Linked DNA regions of Ovis aries. The protein of the gene in region 2 purifies or fractionates together with the protein of the main gene of each other region. This does not show direct contact. Links are inferred from orthologs where the notes say so. Each region holds a gene or a part of one and is shown on either strand. Other genes may lie near its edges.

Region 1 (3,565 bases), on a different chromosome or scaffold from region 2:
GAATGTTTCTAACCATAGGTGTTTTTAAATTTTTCTCCTTACTTCAAGGTCAAGTGAAAAGTCATCATGTTCCCCAAATCTTATACAGCCTTTCTATGGTTTAAGTTACCTCTGGTCAACTGTGGTCCAAAAATATTAACTGGAAAATTACATAAATCTCTTGCTATCTTGCTCTGCCCCACTGGGATGTGAACCACACCTTCGGTCATCTGCCCAGCATGTTCACACTGTATATGCTACAGGCCATTAGTCACTCAGCAGTAGTCTCTGTTATTAGATCAACTGTTAACAGTCACTGTGCTTCTGTTCAGGTAACACTTATTTTTTTAATATTGCCCCCAAGGCACAAGAGAAGTGATGCTGGCAATTCAGATGTTCTCTTACTCTGCCTAATTTATAAATTAAACTTCATCATAGATATGTATGAAAAAATAGTATGTGTGTGGTGTGTGTGTGGCTTTCCCAGTAGCTCAGCTGATAAAGAATCCGCCTGCAATGCAGGAGTCCCTGGTTCGATTCCTGGGTCGGGAAGCCCTCCTGTGAAGGGACAGGATAGGCTACCCACTCCAGTATTCTTGGACGTCTCTGGTGGCTCAGACAGTAAAAAATCCGCCTGCAATACAGAAGACCTGAGTTCGATCCCTGGGTTGGGAAGATCCACTGGAGGAAGGCATCACAACCCACTCTAGTATTCTTGCCTGGACAATCTCCATGGACAGAGGAGCCTGGTAGGCTGCAGTCCATAGGGTCGTAAAGAGTCAGACACAACTGAGCAACTAAGCACAGCACACATATATATATATTTATAGTATATATACATATATGCTATTTTTCATATAGTATATATATACTACAGAAAAATAGTACAATAGGGTTCAGTACCATTTCCAGTTTTAGGCAGCCACTGGGGTCTTGGAACTTATCCCCTGCAGATAAAGGGGGACTACTGTGTAGACGCATAAAAAGATCAAGAAAGTAAATATATTTTACCTTTTAAAATAGAAAAAAAAAACAATAAAGACACTAGTTACATAAAATGCTAGATTTAAGGAGACTGAAAATGATGACTAAGCTCTTTTAAGTAATCAGTAATCTCTTCATAAAATAAACCTTTAGTACAGTTAGCACTGCTAAAAGCAAAAATGCCCCTCATTTATCCATCCCCTGGTCTGAACAGTTAAAAATAAAATACTGTACCTTTCAGAGCATCCTTATAAATGGTGATGAACAGTCTGAAGATGTCCTTAGGAATAGTATCTTCATTTGGCAAACATAACAATAGAATAATAATTTCTGCCTGTCCCAAGCCATGCAATCCATTGGTTGAGAAGTACCAGTATTTGTCTGAGGAATCTTAAGTGACAAAACCATACAACTATAAATGTCAACTTCTTTTTTTTTTTTTAATTTTTTTTTAAAAATGTCAACTTCTAATTGTCCTTTGCATGAAGTACAACTTTTCAAACTCCTTATTTCCCCAATGTTCTCACAAAACTTAAACTGAACTGTGTAAGATGGCTTGTGTAACTCTGTAAGATTACTTCAATAGTTTTGGCCTCAGGTCAAATAACAGGGAGGGAACACAGCTCTGCTCATCAACAGAAAATTGGATTAAAGATTTACTGAGCATGGCCCCACCCTCAGAACAAGATCCAGTTTCCCCCTCAGTCTCTCCCATCAGGAAGCTGGCATAAGCCTCTTATCCTTCTCCACCAGAGCCAGACAGAATGAAAACCACAATCACAGAAAATTAACCAATCTGATCACATGGACAACAGCCTTGTCTACCTTGTCTAATGAAACTATAAGCCATGCCCTCTAGGGCTGCCCAAGACGGACAGGTCATGGTGGAGATGTCTGACAAAATGTGGTCCACGGGAACTCCCCCAGTCTGTAGGTGCCCAATACGTTACTGGAGATCAGTGGAGAAATAACTCCAGAAAGAAAAGAAGAGACGGAGCCAAAGCAAAAGCAACATCCAGTTGTAGATGTGACTGGTGATAGAAGTAAAGTCCTATGCTATACAGAGCAATATTGCAAGGAACCTGGAATGCTAGGTCCATGAATCAAGGCAAACTGGAAGTGGTCAAACAGGAGACGGCAAGAGTGAACATTGACATTTTAGTAATCAGTGAACTGAAGTGGACTGAAATGGGTGAATTTAACTCAGATGACCATTACATCTACTACTCTGGGCAAGAATCCCTTAGAAGAAATGGAGTCGCCATCATAGTCAACAAAAGAATCCAAAATGCAATACTTGGATGCAATCTCAAAAACGACAGAATGATCTGTTTGTTTTCAAGGCAAACCATTCAATATCCCGGTAATCCAAGGCTATGACTGGAGCAGTAATGCTAAAGAAGCTGAAGTTGAACAGTTCTATGAAAACCTACAAGACCTCCTAGAACTAACACCCATAAAAAATGTCCTTTGCATTAGAGGGGACTGGAATGCAAAAGTAGGAAGTCAAGAAACACCTGGAGTAACAAGCAAATTTGGCCTTGGAATGCGGAATGAAGCAGGACATAGATTTAATAGAGTTTCACCAAGAGAACACACTGGTCACAGCAAACACCCTCTTCAAACAACACAAGAGACAACTCTACACATGGACATCACCAGATGGTCAAAACTGAAATCAGACTGATTATATTCTTTGCAGCCAAAGATGGAGAAGCTCTATACAGCCAGCAAAAACAAGACTGGGAGCTGACTGTGGCTCAGATCATGAACCCCTTATTGCCAAATTGAAGAAAGTAGGGAAAATCACTAAACCATTCAGGTATGACCTAAATAAAATCCCTTATGATTATACAGTGGAAGGGACAAACAGATTCAAGGGATTAGATCTGACAGACAGAGTGCCTGAAGAACTATGAACCGAGGTTTGTGACATTGTACAGGAGGCAGTGATAAAGACCATCCCCAAGAAAAAGAAATGCAAAAAGGCAAAATGGTTGTCTGAGGAGGCCTTACAAATACCTGAGAAAAGGAGAGCAGCAAAAGACAAAGGAGAAAAGGAAAGATATAAGCATCTGAATGCAGAGTTCCAAAGAACACCAAGGAGAGATAAGAAAGCCTTCCTCAGTGATCACTGCAAAGAAATACAGGAAAACAATAGAATAGGACTAGAGATCTCTTCAAGAAAATTAGAGCTACCAAGGGAACATTTCATGCAAAGATGGGTTCAATAAAGGACAGAAACAGTATGGACCCAACAGAAGCAGACGATATTAAGAGGTGGCAAGAATACACAGAAGAACTACACAAAAAAAGATCTTCATGACCCAGATAATCACAATGGTGTGATCACTCACCTAGAGCCAGATATCCTGGAATGCGAAGTCACGTGGGCCTGAGGAAGCATCACTAAGAACAAAGCTAGTGGAGGTGATGGAATTCCAGTTGAGATATTTCAAACCCTAAAAGATGATGCTGTGAAAGTGCTGTACTCAATATGCCAGCAAATTTGGAAAACTCAGCAGTGGCCACAGGACTGGAAAAGGTCAGTTTTCATTCTAATCCCAAAGAAATGCAACATCGAAGAATGCTTAAACTACCG
Region 2 (4,297 bases):
TGCCACGGTGCTTTATTAGTGTGACGTCAGTGAAAATAATAAAAATGATGACGATGTATTCTGCAAACTAATAATGTGCCAGGCCCTCTCCAGAGAGCATCTCACTTCACTCTCACAACCACTCTGAGAAATGGATGCTGCCATAACCACCATTGCACCCAGGAAGCAGAGCCCAAAGGCAGACAGGGAGTGAGCCTGAGGAGCTAGGGTGATGGGAGGGCACAAAAACAACGGCTGGATTTGAAGGGGTCAGCGAAGGCCTCCTGGAGTAGGTGATGATGCCTGGAACTTTAAGGAGGCACTGGCAGCAGGCATTCCAGGCAGAGGGAGCAGCAAGCAGAAAGGGGTGTGAATGGGTGACTGGAAACTTTCTGAGTCGAGAGACACTGAGCTCTGATTTAGACCATCACGACCTACTGTGCTCAGTGCTGCCAACTGGACAGGGCTCTATGCTCAACCGGGGGATGAAGTCGGCAGGCTTGAGAAGAGATTATTTCAATCCTGCAGTTTATAGAAATGAAAGCAGCTCATACTAGGTCATTAGTAATTACAGCTGATCAGGGCTGTTGCTCCCCCACACCCCGGGGGTGAAGAAAAGGAATACTGAGGGTATTAACTCAAATAGCAGACATTATTCATTTAATAGTACTTTTAGAGCCTCTTCAGCTTTGGTTCAGATTTCACGGACTCAGAGGGGTTCTTCTCAGCTTTCTGACCACATCACTGGGGTCTTGGGTGAGTCCTATTTTCCACCTTCCCTCTCTTGGCCTCAGTCTCCAGTGTAGAATGAAGGGGATGGGCTACAATGGAGGTTTTCAATCTGGTGGCCACCTCAGGTCTACAGTCACAAACTCTGGGGGTGGGGCCCGGCCTTTGATGCTTTAACAAGTCTTCCAGGGGATTCTGATGATAGCCCTGGATTAGAAGAGCCCTAGGATAAGGACTGTTCCTGCAGTAAAACACGGTCTGTGCTCTAAGGGACTAAGAGTTTAGTAGCATGCTCTTTGGACTGAATATTTCTTGCCCAAGACAGGTAACCCTTCAGGGTAAGAAGAGAAGCTCTTTTGTTTGACTACCTCAAGCCTGGAGTCCCAAAGAGCTTTTCTAGAAAGACTCAGGCATATTTGGCTGCCTGTGAACCAGAATTTTTTTCTTTTTTGGGGGGTGGGTGTGTAGGAAGTCTCAAATTTGACATGTGATAAAAGCAGAGGTTTCTGCAGTTGGAGAAATACAGACAAGAGATGAACTGCCTTCTCTTTTCAGTCCCAAACAATGACTCATCAGTGTGTGTGTCTGTTTGTGTAGCAGGTGGGTGAGGGTCCTGAGAGAGCAGCTGCCCCTCTCAGATCCAGGAACTTCCTGGTGTGTAAATACTCTACTGACAGCATCCTCTTGAATACATTTGATTACAAAACCTCAAAAGAGCCACAAACAGCCACAGGCAGCGATTTCAACACAGAGCTGGGTTAACAGACTTAAGTGAGGTTTGACTTCTAAGGCACCAAGAATGAAAAGAATGTATTGTCTAAAAGATCCAGTTTTCCCAGTCTGGACTTAAGGCTAAAAATCATCAAAAAGATGGAGAGAGGCTTTCACAGTACTTCCCTCGATTTATTCAGGCGAGGAAGCACAACCAGACTGTTCTGGAGAAGTGTCCCGGCCATGGCCTGTGGGTCCTCTCTGAGTTGGTGGGCAGGAATGAGTGTCTGTGAGACCAACTGTCTAGCCATTCTCAGGATTTTGGAACCCGCACTTGGTGGTGTCTCAGTAACAATAAATATTACCACCTTCTTTTACAGAGCATCTGCCACGTGGAAGGCACTAAATCCTTCACACTTATGAACGAGTTTAACCTAAACAACCCCAAGGAGGCAGGGATCATTATTATCCCCTAATCACTGGGGAGGGATCCTCTCTACAGACAGCCAACGCCGCACCATTACTAAGCCTCCGCTCAACAGGTGCCAAGAGAGTCAGGAGCCTGGGCTCTTGAGTGAGCCTGTGTCTCGCCCAGAGGGCTTGGGCCTCCCATCTGCTGAGAAATGAGGGAGGCTGAAATCAGGTGGTTTCGAAGATCCTTTCCAGCTCCAAGTCTGCGACTCCACGCGGTCCATTCGGTGCCGGCTGGTGAGGCGGCTATGGCCGGCAGTTCCTGAGGATTTGGCCTGGCCTTCTCGTGGGGTGGGCTCCCTAGCGTCTAGCCCCGGCTTGGTGGAGGAAGGGCTCCCAGCCGCCTGCCCGCCAGGCCGCAAAGCCCCAGCCTCCTGGTCCTTGAGAATGGACTTCCAGCCCTTCTCAGGTATCCGTGTTCGCAACTCCAGACGAGCCAGGAAGGAAATGGCAAGAGCCCAGGTGGCGCAACCCGTGCGGGGGAGGCGATGACAGAAACCATCGAGGGACCCAAACACTGCAAAAACCACGCAGTCCCTTTAACCCCTAAAACTTTCTGCCTGGATTCGCGACCCCAGCAGCTGCACATTGGCTGAGCCGCGGCCGCCCGGGCCCGCCTCCCCTCTTTATTTATTGGCTTCCGTGGGCATCCATCACAATCCGAAGCTTCCTAGTGGACAGTGGCTTTTGTCAATCAAAGCAGGCGGGAGGCAGGGCGGGGCCGGGTCTGAGAGAGACACGCCAGCCTCACTCCCCTCCCTGCCTCCCTCTGGTGTGTGACTCGGGACCTGGAGGTACCCTGGGGGGCCGGGGTCGAATGCGGAGTGCTGCGCTGGGCCTGCGCGGGGCCCCGGAGACTCACCGATGCGCTGTCCCACCGGAGAGCTGAACGGGTTCCCCAGGAGAAAGTCCATCGCCACTGCTGCCGCTGCCTCCAAGCCGGGGATCAGCTGACAGCAACCGCCAGCGCCGCGGACCCGTCACGTGATGCGCTGGACCGTCCTCGAGGAGGCGCGGCTGGGGCGGGGCAGAGGCAGTCTGGAGCCTAGACGCAGGCCCCGCCTCGGACGTGGAGTGTCGGCTCCCTGAGGCGGAGGGCGATGACCTCACTGCGGTTAACTAGGCGTCGGCGGACGTCACGCAGTACGTAGGGCGACGAGGGGGCGTGGGTTTCGCTAAGCCACGCCCTCCACGCGTCCTGAAGGATTTAGGGGCGTGGCCTTTGAGCTCTTAACACCTGGAAAACCCAATCTTAGACCCGGGAAATGATTTGCGTGGGCTTCCCTTGTAGCTCAGTCAGTAAAGAATTTGCCTGCAGTGCAGGAGACCTGGGTTCGATCCTTGGGTTGGGAAGATCCCCTGGAGAAGGAAATGGCAACCCACTCCAGTATCCTTGTCTGGAAAATCTCATGGACAGAGGGACCTTGTGGACTGCTGTCCATGGGGGTCGAAAAGAGTCGGGCACGACTGAGCGACTAACATATAACATACATATGTAACGGTACCCAGCAAGCCGAGGCCAAAGCTCTAGCTCTCAGTCCGGTCCCCCGGGACCTCAGTATGACTACACATCCGCTGCTGGGGTTGATAGACTCTCTGGCTTGTTGTCTCCCTACCCAGAGAGGACGCTTCCTGTTTGAGGCTGAGGTCTTCTGGCTGCAAAATGCTTCATGTTTGCAGCCCAGATTCCCTTACCTCAAATAGGAGGCAAGGGCAAAGGCTTTTCGAGACCTTGACACTGAGAGACAACTCAATGAATTGCAGCTAGTGATGGGCTAGAGCTCAAGGTGGCAGAAAGCATACAAATGTTATGAGTGGGTCCTAGGACACATCTCTGCCATTCATTTACGGTGTGATTCAAACAGCAGGCTTCCATTTTCTCTGAATTCTGGAATTAGATCAAGGACTTCTAACCTTTATTTTCTTAGGTCACAGGATCCTTTGAGAAATTGTACAAAGCACTGGAGCATTTCTGAAGAAAAAAGGCAAGATAGAATTGTACCTCAGGGTGGTTCTGGGGTCCCTGAGGTACACCAGTGGACTCCAAGCTAAGAATCTCAAAGGCTTTCTTCAGCTTTGTAATTCAAATGTCTTCTTCCATGCTCCCGTGCGCCATGTTTCAGCTGTGTCACTTACTCATTAGATATCTTACCTATTGGTTATAGTTTTTTCCTTCTAATGGCATGCACTCCAAAAGATAAAATAACCACTGCTTTGGTAGTCTGAGCTACTGCAAGGTGCTTTAGTATCTATCGAACGTATTTGTGAATTTTTAATTCGAAAGGCTAGTACATTTCACAAATTTAGGATGATAGAAAACCTGAATTACAACTTTATCACTTCTGTATGTTAACTGAGCAGTCAATAGGGTAGAAGAATTGATGCTTTTGAACTGTGGTGGAGAAGA
Region 3 (3,565 bases), on a different chromosome or scaffold from region 2:
CCTGCTTCTCCCCGTCTTGTATATAAAACTTTCAAAATTCTCTTCTTCCAATACTAAGGCTGGGCCTGGCCTGGGGGAGACAGTCCCCAGCTACCGAATGAATGAATGAACCTTCCCCAGATGGACCCTCCCTGTCCCCCAGCATGTGCTTGCTATAATTAACAAGCGTCCTCAGCTTTGCTGGTTCGGGCTCCCTGTTTCTTGGAGGCATCTCCTGCACTCCCCACAAGACCATAAGCTCCCCTGGGGCAGTGCCTGGGTCTCTGAGTCCCTTGCCAGCCCCGGCACCCTATGGGACATTATGTGGTGTGCTGTGTCCCCTTCTTGCCCAGGCTCCAAGTGCCTCTAAGGAGTGGAGCGAGTCTGCAGGCCTGCCCCAGGTGAGGGCTTCATCAGCCGCTGGGTTGGCAGGAACCAGGGCTGCCGAGGGGAGGGCCCGTCTCACCCCTCTCGGGCATATGCTGATAGGGCAAAACCATCCTCTGCAGCCTGTTCCCCACCCTCTCTCCAAACTCCAAATATGCAGACACCCCTGGGCTGTGAGCCCCCCACACCCTCCAGGCCCCTCTCTCTCTCTCTCTCTCTCTCTCTCTCTCTCTCAGGCAAGGTTACCTGGGACAGGAGAGGGGAAGTCAAAGTCATTTCCCACGGCCACGCTGCTGGATGATTTCTGGGACTCGTATTTCAGTCGATCTGGAAAAGGCCCACAGTCTGGTCAGGGAAGCTAGCTCACACCCAGGGCCGCCTGAGCTGAGAGGTGGTTGGAGGCCAAACCCTGAGAAACACACACACACACACACACACACACACACACACACACACACGTGCACACGCGACACCTATGGGCTCTCAAAGAACCAGAACTCTCAAAGACACAGAAAGCACTGCCTGGAAGGTGAGAATGTCAAAATTAACAGGCCCCTGAGAAACTGGAGTGTCCAGCCCTTCATCTAAAAGGAAAGGCCTGGAGACTCCCACCAGCATCTTTACTGCAGAGCTGGGACCAGCCTTCGGCTCCTCTGTCTCAGGCCAGACTTTCCCCTGCACACCATGTTCCTGACCAAAACACACTGCCAGTCACACACACGTGTACACACAACACCTCTCTCCCACAGGCCCCTCACTGTGCGCCACCCCAAACCTTACCACTCTAAAGGGGGAAGGCAGCCAGGCTAGGAGGAGTAGGATCCTTGGCCCAGAAACAACCCCAACACCCCCAAACCCTCCAGAGGCCCTGCTCTAACGTCCTCGGCTCAGGGAGGAACGCACCCTGGCACCCAGCCACACAGTCCCTCTACTGCTGGAGCTCCCGTCGCACAGGGCAGCCGCCAGCGCCTGGCACAGAGCAGAAGTGCGGGGGCGCAAGGAGGGGCAGAGCCCAGAGGGCGCCCCGCACTCCCGCTAAGTCCCGATGACTCAGGTCCCTGTGAGCAGAACTCTGCTTCCCAGGCAGCGCTAGGCGTAAAGAACCTGCCTGCCAGTGCAGGAGACATGAGAGACGTGGGTTCCATCCCTGGGTAGGGAAGATCTCCTGGAGGAGGGCAGGGCAACTCCAGTACTCTTGCCTGGAGAATCCCATGGACAGAGGAGCCTGGTGGGCTACAGTCCATGCGGTCGCAAAGAGCGACATGACTGAGCGACTCACGCTTTCATACTTTCTCCTGGACAACTCAGACCTCCGGCTCGGAGCCCCAGGCTACGGCCGACACCCCTCGCCCCGGCCCGGCTGCCCTGGCCCAGGGCACCACCTCTCTCCAGGGCGAGCAGGAAGTCCCGGTTGCGCTGCAGCTCCTTCATGAACTCCTCGTTCTGCAGGAAGAGCGCGATCCTCTCGTCCTCCAGGTACTGCTTCCAGCGGCTCTCCTGGTCCCGGGGCTCAGGCCCCGCCACGGGCGGCAGGCTTCCCTCCGTGCTTGCGAGCTTGGAGCCCCTGGAGGTGGCCTGAGCAGGGAGCAAGCACACGGACCCCCTACTCACAAGGGCGCACGCCGCACCAACACCCATGCGCACCGGGGGTACAAGCGTCCTTCCCGGGATGCTGCAGCCACGCCCTGAGGCCAGGACCTCCTCCACCCAGAGCGAGCTGTTAGCCAAGACTCAACGTAACAGACCAGAGCCCTCTGTGCTGAGGAAGCATCAGGGGCTTAGGAACTACTCTCCACCTCCCCAGCTTGACACCTTGGACCTTCCCACCAGCATGCCCTTCGTCAAAACCTGAATAGTCCTGAAGAGTGATCTTCAAATGGCTCAGAGTCCCCATACTCATACTTTCCTTGTCCTGGCCATCTCAGAGGAGACTGCTTGCAAGGGCCAGCCTCTGGCGAGAAGCACCCTGGCCCTCTCCCCGGGGAAGGAAGGAAGGAAGGAAGGTGCTCTGCCTTTCTGTCACTGAGTGACCCCCCACCCTGCCCCTGCCCAACTCCTGCCACCCTAGGGTGATGCCATTTGCCAGAGAGTATCCTCAGGGCGGTCCCCTTCCTAAGCGGAAGGGGAAACCTTACAGGCCCCGATGGGGAAGGAGGCTTTTGGCTCAGCCTTCTTTCCGTACCACCCCAGGGCAGCTTAGCCTGGGCTTAAACGTCAGGGAGGGTCAGTGACTGGCGCGAACAGAGAGACGCTGCACAGGCTGGGGGCGGGGGCACCCCCATTACCTGTATGCTGTCCAGCTGCTGGGGCAGGATGCGGAGAAAGTCTTCGGGGAGGTTGCCCAACAGTGGGGGGTTCCAGTTGCGGTAGCGCCTCTGGCTGGAAGGGGGCACGGAGCCCAGCACGTCGATGCTGGAGGGCGACAGGTGAGGATGAGGAGGGAACAGTCAGGCCCACACACAGGTGTCCTGGCCCACCACCCTGGGATCCTGCTCAGAATGGCACCCACGTGCCCAAGCTTCCAGCCGCCTCCAGCACGGAGGCCCAGCCCCCTAGCTCCCCTTTCAGCCAGGCCTTGGCTGAGCCCTCACCTCTGGGCCTGGACGCCTACTGCGCCAGACACTCACTGCTTCCAGCCACCCGGTGTCTGCAAAGTCTCTGGGCCTAGGGGCTTCCCTGGCAGTCCAGGCGCCATGACTTCACCTTCCAACGCACGGGGTGCAGATTCAATCCCAAGTCAGGGAGGTGAGACGCCATGCGTGTCTTGGCCAAACAAACAAAAGGTCTCTGGCCTGCGTTGGCAGAGCTCATGTTGGGTGCTGTGGATGTGGACACAGATGCAGGGGTCACAGCCCTTCAGCCTTCTGTCTCTAGCATCCAGGATAACACAAGCTCCTGGGTGCTGAGTGATAGGTGTGTTCCCAGGGAAGAGACACCTAGAGTGGCTGACAGCCCAGCCTTCCCCAGTGTTGGTTTGCTGGAATCAGGAGACACGGAGACACCAGGGTCTCTAGAGGGCAAGCAGACCCAGGCTCCAGACCTGGTGGGTGGTCCCAGGGGAGACCTATCCCCTGTGGGGCTTTCCCCTCACCTGCAAACCACTGCCACCCTGCTCTGGTGTGTGGGAGCCCCTCACGAAGCTGCCTTGACCGGCAGCTGGAAGGTCACACTAAGGATGGGACTGGCAGGGGCTGCTCTC
Region 4 (3,565 bases), on a different chromosome or scaffold from region 2:
ATGTTACCTTCAATAAAAAAAGAGAAAAAGACTATTTTTCCAATTATGTCTGTCACTAAAAGACAAAGGCTGAAGAAGTGTTTCAGGTTAAAAGAGACATGAAAGATATGACACGTACAAGCAGTATGTAATCCTAGACTAAAGGGAAAATTTTCTTTTAAAAAACATTCTCAGGTCAATTGACAAAATCAGAACGAAACAGATTTTTAACAGTATTCTACCAGTATCAGACTGACTGAGGTTGCTATCCATAATGTGGTCATGAAAGAGAATACCCTTATTCCTAGGAAATACTCACTGAAGGGTTATAAAGCCATGAGGTACGCAACTTATTCTCATAAGGTTAAAAGGTTAGATGTGCCTATACATATACACGTATATGTAAAAAATATATACATGTATGTGTACATATGAGTGTATGAGAACATACGCGATAAAACCGGGGCGTAAATGTCAATGGGTGAATATAAATGTAATCAACTACTTTGGCCAGTTTAAGTTCATAATTATCAGCAGTTTTTTTTAAAAAAAGCGTGTACCTTCTAAAAATGCTCCATATTACCTAAAACCACTCTGAAACTCTCAAAATTCACTAGTCTAACATTATGTAACAGGTTTTAAAAATGCTGTCTTCTCTATATGTCAGCTGGCAGTACTCACATTGATAAGCTCCAGATCACACTGGCCACGCTCATAAGCAACACAGGCCAGATGCGGATCTCTCTTCTCACAATACTTTCCAACAACACGACTGTCATAGTAAGGATTTTCCCGAAGAAACCGCTCTGGATTGTTATTACTGTCTATGTAGATTTTGGCTAATGCATTATGAGTAGCAGGCTCTTCACAGCCCTCATGAATTCTGGCCTCCAGCCAAGGCAGAAGCAGTTTCAATCTAGTAAAAAAATAAAACAAGAAAAGAAACACACAAAAAAACCCACATATACATATACTATATTATAAATAACACACTCTTGACATGCTATGTACCTTATGGTCTATAAAGTGCTTTCCCATACCCTATTTTGAATTCTCAACATTTCTATCAGAAACTGAGAAATTAGGACTCAGAGATGGTTAAAGGATTTGTCCAATGTTACACAGAAGGTATATAAGACTGTCCTTCATACTCTCCCAGACCTATCTGCTACATTATCTAGACAGGATATGGAGAGAAGAGACTACAGATTCACAGATTATTCTTTTTCATATGGGGCAAATGGCTGGACCTCTGAGTAATATTGCTTAGGAGTAGGACAGAGATGTGGTATGAGAAAACAAGCCACATTATCTGCGGTTCCTTTTAATTTTACCACAATTACCATGCAACATTACATACAGCAAAAAGAAGCAGTAACGTAAGTAAACACATAACTGGGAACAAAATCTGGTAAAATTCTAGCAGTCATAAAATCAATCACTCCACCAAGGGCCATGGTTTTGCTAAGTTATAGCTTATTTTCCAATGGTTCAGATGACCAACACTCTTACCATGGTTTAAATAACATGTTAAATAGTTACAAGAAATCCACGGAAAGAGGCGCCTGGTAGGCTATAGTCCATGGTGTCACAGAAGAGTTGGATACGACTTAGCAACTATACAATAATCACTTTAAATCAGTCTCAAGCTTTAAAAAAATAAAACTCAGTATTATATTCTACATCTCCATTGTCCTTAAGTGCAGAATTTTTCAAACATTTTCTGAAACATTTAGCTTGAAACATTTAGATATAAATTATGTTATAAATTTCCATTAGTAGAACACTTGTACCAACTCAGGTTAAAATTAAACCCTATTCTTGAGATGGTTTCATTGCTAGAGGAACTTCCTACTTAACCTCATTACTTCTCACTAACCTCATTTACTATGTCAGCACTTTGTGAACACACAATGTCCTGGCTAAAAAAAAGACTTCATGATCTAACTATCAGAAGCACTCATATTATGTTCTCTTCTATTGGAAATTCCTAACTCATATTATATCAAGGTTCAACTTAAAAATAAGTTTAACTCAGAGTTATACAGGGAATGTTTTTCTCTTGTCATACTTGATTATTTACCAGAGAGTAATTAGTTACTAGGTATCATACCTAAAAGGAGGCTTTTTACATAGTTTACATTAAAAACACATAGCTGTGTGGTTTGACTTAATGTAATTATAAACATGCAAAAAGAAGGTGAACACTCATTACTAGAGAAATGCAAATCAAAACCATAGCGAGACATCATCTCACATTTATAAGAATGGCCGCCATCAAAAAGTCTACAAACAACGAATGCTGGACAGGGTGTGGAGAAAAGGGAACCCTCTTACACTGCTGGTAGGAATGCCAAGTGGTACAGCCACTACAGAGAACAGTGTGGCGATTCATTAAAAAAGTGGAAACAGAACTGCCGTATGACCCAGCCATCCCACTGGTGGGCATACACATCAAGGAAACCAGAACTGAAAGAGACACGTGTACCCCAATGTTCACTGCAGCACTGTTTACCACAGCTAGGACATGGAAGCCACCTAGATGTCCATACGCAGATGAATGGATAAGGAAGCTGTGGTACATATGCACAATGGAATACTACTCAGCTCTAAAAAAGAATTCATCTGAGTCAGTTCTAAGGAGGTAGATGAAACTGGAGCCTATCATACAGAGTGAAGTAAGTCAGAAAGAGAAATACCAATACAGTAAAGACGGTAAAGATGCTATATGCAAGGTGGCAAAAGAGACACAAGATGTAAGGAACAGGCTTTTGGACTCTGTGGGAAAATGCAAGGGTGGGAAGACTTGAGAGAAAAGCACTGAAGCATGTGTATTACTGTATGTAAAACAGATGACCAGTGCAAGTTCAAGGCGTGAAGCAGGGCACTCAAAGCTGATGCTCTGGGACAACCCAGAGGGATAAGGTGGGGAGGGAGTTGGGAGGGGGGTTCAGGAAGGGGACTCACATGTGCACCCATGGGTGATTCATGTCGATGTATGGCAAAAACCACCACAGTATTGTAAAGAAATTATCCTCCAATTAAAATTAATTAATCAAAAAAAGGTGAATGACTAGATTAACAGATATTCTATATGACAGCCGTATACAGCAAGTTACAGCTAGCTTATCACTTCTAAATTAGGCATCTCTAGGGAATTAAGATCCATGAGTACTGAGTAGTTTTAGGCAACGGACAGGTTATACTTCTATTTAATACAATGCTAGGAGAGACTAATAATTTATCCTACTTGTGAATATTAAAATAGTACTACACCTGTTTCTTTTTTCAACTTCAGCAACAAGCTCATCAGTAGAGAATTGACCTCTTACAACAAGAATCAAATTTTTAATGACATCTTCAGAGCAATCAACATCAAGTAATCCCCCAATAACCACCGGCAGTCGACTTGGATTCACCTATGGTTTTAAAAAAAAAAAAGAATGGCATTATGTTACCAAGAAACAAAACTGAAAAGAGTTCTTAAAAAAAAAAAAGCAAAAAGCAAGAAAAACGCATTTTCCTCTTCAACCTGTTTTAAAAGTCAGTAATAAACAGATTCTAAATTTGACACTAGACAAAGGAA

The links.
Region 1: the proteins of TOM1 (region 2) and ZFYVE16 purify together in Homo sapiens (affinity purification with western blotting; 3 studies listed by BioGRID and IntAct, with this or other methods). This does not show direct contact. The link is inferred for Ovis aries from reciprocal best matches to the Homo sapiens genes TOM1 and ZFYVE16.
Region 3: the proteins of TOM1 (region 2) and CUEDC1 purify together in Homo sapiens (co-immunoprecipitation; 3 studies listed by BioGRID and IntAct, with this or other methods). This does not show direct contact. The link is inferred for Ovis aries from reciprocal best matches to the Homo sapiens genes TOM1 and CUEDC1.
Region 4: the proteins of TOM1 (region 2) and CLTC purify together in Homo sapiens (affinity purification with western blotting, with the first as the bait; 3 studies listed by BioGRID). This does not show direct contact. The link is inferred for Ovis aries from reciprocal best matches to the Homo sapiens genes TOM1 and CLTC.

Annotation. Positions count from the first base shown.
Region 1 is NC_056058.1:78,172,643-78,176,207, reverse strand, and holds part of ZFYVE16 (zinc finger FYVE domain-containing protein 16), read right to left. Parts: intron 1,354-3,565; coding exon 1,198-1,353; intron 1-1,197.
Region 2 is NC_056056.1:179,160,731-179,165,027, reverse strand, and holds the start of TOM1 (target of Myb1 membrane trafficking protein), read right to left. Parts: upstream 2,832-4,297; 5' UTR 2,805-2,831; coding exon 2,753-2,804; intron 1-2,752.
Region 3 is NC_056064.1:8,369,623-8,373,187, forward strand, and holds part of CUEDC1 (CUE domain-containing protein 1), read right to left. Parts: intron 2,779-3,565; coding exon 2,652-2,778; intron 1,942-2,651; coding exon 1,749-1,941; intron 694-1,748; coding exon 613-693; intron 1-612.
Region 4 is NC_056064.1:10,332,151-10,335,715, reverse strand, and holds part of CLTC (clathrin heavy chain 1), read right to left. Parts: intron 3,399-3,565; coding exon 3,256-3,398; intron 896-3,255; coding exon 661-895; intron 1-660. UniProt on the Homo sapiens protein: Clathrin is the major protein of the polyhedral coat of coated pits and vesicles. Two different adapter protein complexes link the clathrin lattice either to the plasma membrane or to the trans-Golgi network.